Linked DNA regions of Drosophila melanogaster. The protein of the gene in region 1 interacts with the protein of each later gene in a pairwise test. Each region holds a gene or a part of one and is shown in the gene's direction. Other genes may lie near its edges. The genes, in order: Paip2 and CG32188.

What was found.
Region 2: the proteins of Paip2 (region 1) and CG32188 interact in a two-hybrid assay, tested with the Drosophila melanogaster proteins (one large-scale study listed by BioGRID).

The regions. Positions count from the first base shown.
Region 1 is NT_033777.3:12,979,094-12,983,240, forward strand, and holds the start of Paip2 (polyA-binding protein interacting protein 2), read left to right. Parts: upstream 1-1,952; 5' UTR 1,953-2,294; intron 2,295-4,147. Other genes in the region: CG7091 (uncharacterized protein), read left to right, coding at 1-17, 76-384, 443-725, 862-1,103, 1,160-1,324.
Region 2 is NT_037436.4:17,832,777-17,835,156, reverse strand, and holds CG32188 (uncharacterized protein), read left to right. Parts: upstream 1-1,531; 5' UTR 1,532-1,562; coding exon 1,563-1,880; downstream 1,881-2,380. Other genes in the region: CG32189 (uncharacterized protein), read left to right, coding at 16-333.

The DNA.
Region 1 (4,147 bases):
TCTGTGGTTTACTGGCGGTAAGGAATAGCATCATTCAGATACTAATAGATATATATAGATCCTGCTACTTGACAGGGCTGTGGAAATCCGGCAATGTATAAACTGTTCGTGACCTGGGCTCATCCCACAGAGAGAACAGCGCTCCTGTCCTTCGCCTACAGTGGTCTTCTGATGGGCTCCATGTTGGTTTACCCGGTGGCCAGTTATCTGAGCAACTTCGGCTGGGAACTGTCCTTCTATGTAGTCGGTGGAGTTGGCCTCTCATTCGGCATTGCCTGCTGCTTTCTCGTTTACGACACCGTGGAGCAACATCCAAGGATATCGAATGAGGAGGTGGATTACCTGAGGCAGGGCAAGAGTCAATTGGGACAGCAGCGGCAGCCAGTGAGTAGTTCCTTGTACTTTTAACTTTAAAATTATAAATTAATTAGCTTCTTTTTAGGTGGTAACCATTCCCTGGAAGAGCCTGCTCGCCGCGCCGCCCGTCTACGCCTTCATCCTGACCCACATGTTCCACACCTACACCTTCCTGGTGATTGTGCAACTGATGCCGCGATTTATGCGCGAGGCCATGGAGTTCGATCTCCGCGAGGTGGGCTTCCTCTCGGCGGCGCCGTATCTGGGCGGGATCTGCTCGAAGGTGATGTGCATCCTGGGTGGCAGCTATGTGGAACGACGCGTGGGTCCTGACCAGAATTGTGTGCGAAGAATGCTGTACGGGATCTGTAAGGCATACCGATAATCGGAGTGCCACAGACATCTATAAAGAACACCTTCCCTTAGTGGATTCCTATATAGATTTCCGTAGCATCTCCAGAAACATCACCAATCTCTCTTTTATATCCCATTTTATAATACCAGGCAGCATCCTGACCACTTCTTTGATTGGGGTCATCATCCTGGCTAATTGTGATGACAAAATACTAGTACTTGTGATGTTTGCCTTCATGATGGCCACTACGGATATGGGTTTCAGTGGCTACTGGCCCACGCTGCTCTACTTTGCGCCCTCCTTCGCGGGATTGCTATCGGGATTGGCCAATGGAATGGCCCATCTTTCCGGATTCTTAGCTCCCCATCTTGTGGCCGCTCTGGTCCACACTGTAAGTTTAAATACAAGTAGTTTATGATTAAACTGATTTATTTATGTACCTCGCAGGGCAGCAAGGATGAGTGGAATGTGGTGTTGATGACGCTGATTGTCTTTAATACGATGGCCATGTTGGTATTTGCATTTTGCAGCAGTACGAACCTACAACCTTGGGATCCTCGTAGCAGAATGGAGAAAACTGCATCACCAAGTGCTCAGGAATCAAATAGTTAGCACTTATTTGTTTAAATGTTTTAACTTTTTTGTACTTTCGAAGCATTTTATTTGTTTACTATAAATGTAGAGTTAATTGTGTTAAAATAAAAACAAAATAAATGTAAATATACAATATACATATCAATTTAGTTTAAAATGATAATTGAACTTTCTTCAACGCAATCTTCAAATAAAATTTTTAAAAACCGCGCCTAGCACATAGTATCTTTCAATCTTATCGATAGTTTTACCGTTGTATAAAGCAAGCTGACAAATGTTTCACAACGACCAGTTTTCTACATTTCAAGTACAAAATTACACAAATATTCAATAATTCAAAAATATGTGTGAAAGCAGACATCTATTGGCAGTCAATGTACTAAATGCTCATATTCTTTACACGCCAATCGATAGCTGTTTGATTTGACGCATAGATTTGGTTTGAGTCCCGGCTGAGAACTGTAAGACGAAGAAATAGCTCATTTACCTACTTTAATGGTGCTAAATCGCATATATCACAATGCTTTAGGAAAAGTATTAATATTTCTAGAAAGCGTATGCTATAACTCTTTGTGCTATACTATATATAGGTGGAAAGACATCGATAGTCGCAGGGGAGTATCGATGCATCGATAGTGCCATCGATGTTTCTCCACCTTGCTTTATTAATCATTTCAATTTTTTTTCAATTCGGTTGCTTGACGTTCACTGACGTGATTCCGCACACAGCACATAGTCGAATACGTTTCGCAATAGAAATATCAAAATTCTCCGTGTGGACTCAATCTGGATTGGATGCAACACTAAATTACCAGTGTTTTCCTCGATTTTCTAGCGACGCAAAATTCTCAGTACAACCCAAAAAAAAAACGGAGAGTCTCTTCAACAACAAAATCAAGCATCATCGATAAAAACAACAAGTCTCCCGGAGGAAGTGGCTCCAAAATATCCAGTGCAACAGCGGACGAACTTCTCGGCAGGATTGAGAGTGAGTAGATCGGATTAAACAAATTAAATAATCCCAAACATTGTACATATGTATATACATTTATTTGTGCGCGGGGAAAGGCGGAAGTCAGAGAACTTGGCTTCCTGGTTTTTCATTTACCTTTTGGCGCTTCCGCCAAAACACTTAAACGTTCACTTAAAACCGCTTCTGGACAAATCAATAAAGGCCAAGTGTCGGATCGGACATTACCTTGGTGTTCCCTACTTACACTTGAAAAAATTTCGTTTAACATGGTAATAAAATTAATCAAGGCTATTTATTGCACATCACAAAGAAAGTTTATGACTTTATCAGTTAATTAACTACAATACAAGGGTATAAAAGTCAATTGCTTTTCAAAATGTCTCAATATAATAAAATTTAAAATCATTTCATATGCCTAACATATACATATACATATATCATCTTTCAAACCTACTAGTAGAAATTCGAATTTATAATTACCAAGTAAAGTGATTTATTGCCTTGAGTGTACTTCAAATAAAACATTAAATGCTAGAAGTCTACTTTTTTTCTTCCTGTGTACGTGTGCGTGGGCCAAGCTAGACTCCAAGTACACGAACCCCAAGAATATTAATGTTTAAACTTTAAACACTTGTTACCTTGAATGAAACAGTGCGCTGTATGTATTATCATTGCCGCTGCTGTTGTTGCTCTTTTTTTTGGGTTGAGGGAGGTTCATTCAATCGGGCACACCAACACCACTGCACTTGAGAGCCCATTTGTGTGTGTGTTTGTTGTTGCCTCCTTTGTGTTTTCTGCATATTCACTTTACATACTAAATGTATGCACGAATTTCGTCAAGTCCGCCGTGCAAATACATTTTAATTTTCGCAATTTCATTTAAAATATGGACGCTTAACTTAACATCTACTTGCAATTCGATGTGCTTCACTCGTGTGCGTGTGTGTGGCAGCACGTACACCAGTAAAGGGCCAGAGTTGCCATCCTAACTTCTTTTTTCCAAGCACTTTGTCTTGCTGATAAAAGCAGCTGATTTTTATAAATAAATAAGTAAAAGTTGGAAGACGCAAAAAATTCAATTTATTGATAGTGCGATTTGACCTACCAAAGGCAATAAAAATCTAGAATGGAGAGTAATCATTATCTTGTGTGGAATAAACATTCACGCAAAACTTGCCTATGTATGGAGAACTGTAAACAAATATTCGCACAGCCGCGGGTAACGAACTAGGCCCTCAATAAAAATAAATAACAAAATATATTATTTTCGATACAAACAATTCATAAAAAATGTCAAACATTTGCTCTTAAACTGACGTGCAATTATTAGTGCGCAAATATTGTAAGCAGAGTAAAAAAGAATGAAATTACGTGATTAAAATATTAATGTCCTAAAACTGTATTATAAAAATATGTACACAATCGAACGTTACAGGCACGTTCAACATGATAGCTAAGCCCACAAACTCCTCCGATGACAATCATCGCCTTTGGCTTATTGCGTTTTGCATAAATACCGCTCTTGACTTTCGTGTTATTTCACACGTTTGCTTGTTTGTTTTTAGCTGATAGCGGCATTTATATACGCCATAAAATGTTTAGCGGGGCTAGAAGTGATACGAGTTGTGAGCCTATACATTTCTAATCGGATGTAGTACTGAATTATAGACTACATTATATGTATATAGCATACAAGTATGTCCACTTATTTGGGGCTCTTTTCGCTTTTGCACCAAAAGCTGAGTCACTTTGTTTTCAAATTTTTGTGTGCCGCGGCCACAACGCAAAAAATAGACATCACTAAACAAAAAAACGTTGCGCAAAAAGAAAAGAGAAAATGTTCACTTATTTATATAAACAAATAGGTA
Region 2 (2,380 bases), on another chromosome or scaffold:
ACGAACCCTATCGTCATGCGCTTTCTACTAGCTCTCTCCCTGGCCGTCCTGGTCGTTCTGATCCTCCACAGCAGCCAGGTGTCCTCCACATCAACCACCACCTCCACAAGTGCTTCGGCCACAACCACCACGGCTGCTACGACAACAACTGATTCGTCCACCACCACCACCACCGAATCCTCCACGACCACCACTGCCTCCACAAAGAAGAAGCACCGACGCCGCCGTGTCATCATCAGGCGCGTGATCATCCGCCGTGGCAGGGAAGGACGAAGTGAGAGCGGAGACAATCGCCGACGGGTCGTCGTACGCGTTCGCAGGACGGCCAACTGAAACACCAGATTAATGGTTATTTTCTTTAAAGCCCGTTGCTGTCAATCAAAATAAATCATTGAAAAATTATTTTCTATCGAGATGATGACGTGTTTTTTTTAAATTAATAAATTTATTTATTAAGGCATACGGGGAAATCTTGGAGCCCCTTTGTGTCCTTCTTTTCTATTAATTCTGCCCATTTGGGCGCGCCGGCTAACAGAGCTAATTTTATAATAATATTTATAATATATTAAGGGAGGAGCACAGAAGCGCCACATTTAGATATTTCACAAATTATTCCTTGCAAATATGATCCTTACGGTAATCCTATATGATGATTCTTTGAAATGGTAAGTCCTTAGATTGATTTTGATGTCCTTGCTAAATTGCTGTGACGATGTGATGAAAAATTATTGTATATTTCTATACAAAAATACAAGTTGTAAAACATTATTATTCTGCTAAATATTTCCTACAAAGGTCTTTTCTGTTGGAGTGTATATGCAAATCTTTTAGTTTAATGACCATGAAGTCTGCAAATGAAACTATATAGGAGTTGTCATTATACAATTTTTCGGTGCATTTCGACACTGAATGATTCTGTAATAGGGTAACCTTTAAGGTCTTTAAGGGTAATCTTTAAGGTCAAAGCTGAAAATGCAAGTAATTTAAACTTTTCGATAGCTTAATCCCGAAAGAAATGTGTTTCGAAATCTGAATGGTGTACTCTACGTACTTCAAACCGGCTGGCATATCTTAAGAAAGAAAAGGCTTGAAAGGGTCTTTGAGTAAAGAACTTTAAAAAAGTGTAATACCTGTCATTTTAAATAAATACTAAGCAAGTTTAGCAAGCCCTTCTGTCTGTCCTTAAGAAAGAGCTAGTCATTAGGAAGTTAAGAATAAGCATGCAGATTCTAATGACGCCAACGCTGTGATAGTTTGTTTCAAAACGTAGCCACTCCAACGCTAAAGCGCACAAACTTTAAAGTTCTATCTTCAAGTACCTCAAAGTAATGCATGAAAACAAAATTACTATTAACGTCCAAACAGGTGGTAATAACCCTAGCAAAGCACGATAAATAATAGACGGTATTGTAAATGGAACAATGGCCAAAAATATTCACAAGGGGCACATCTGTGTTTGCATAAAAACGTAATACTTTCAGTCCCTGGCCCAAAGGTTCTATAAATATCCATTTTTTCGGTCCATTGATATTAGTTCCTGATCTTCTACGAACCCTATCGTCATGCGCTTTCTACTAGCTCTCTCCCTGGCCGTCCTGGTCGTTCTGATCCTCCACAGCAGCCAGGTGTCCTCCACATCAACCACCACCTCCACAAGTGCTTCGGCCACAACCACCACGGCTGCTACGACAACAACTGATTCGTCCACCACCACCACGACCGAATCCTCCACGACCACCACTGCCTCCACAAAGAAGAAGCACCGACGCCGCCGTGTCATCATCAGGCGCGTGATCATCCGCCGTGGCAGGGAAGGACGAAGTGAGAGCGGAGACAATCGCCGACGGGTTGTTGTACGAGTTCGCAGGACGGCCAACTAAACTTCGAAGCCGTGTAAATAATTATCGGCTTTGATGTTGTTACCAGCCCTTATAAAATAAAAACCAATATGCATTTCCAAAATTCTTCTAATGAATGTACATGGTGGGAACAGTAACCTTAAATGCAAATAAACCAACCTGGATTTAAGAAATATGGCGCCTCCCTTTAATAGGAGTGCTTAATCATGTACTTTTAAGCACATATCCCCCATCACCGATTTGGCTGTACAAAAGGACTTGAAAAAACCGTGTCGCTCGTTTGGCATGAAGGACTTGTATACAAATCTAGACGGACCGCACACTTTCTGTGCCTGTGGACAGCTGCAGCCCTGCCACCAAAGACCCCAAACATGCCGGCGTAACTCAAGGATGCGTCCTGAGGCCATTACCTTACTCTATTTTCACCTCGGACCCACCCAAGTTTAATAGGCGGCTACTTGCGCGTCGGCGCCATGCGCTAAATGCAATGCATATACGAATTTGCAGACCAATTACAAGAA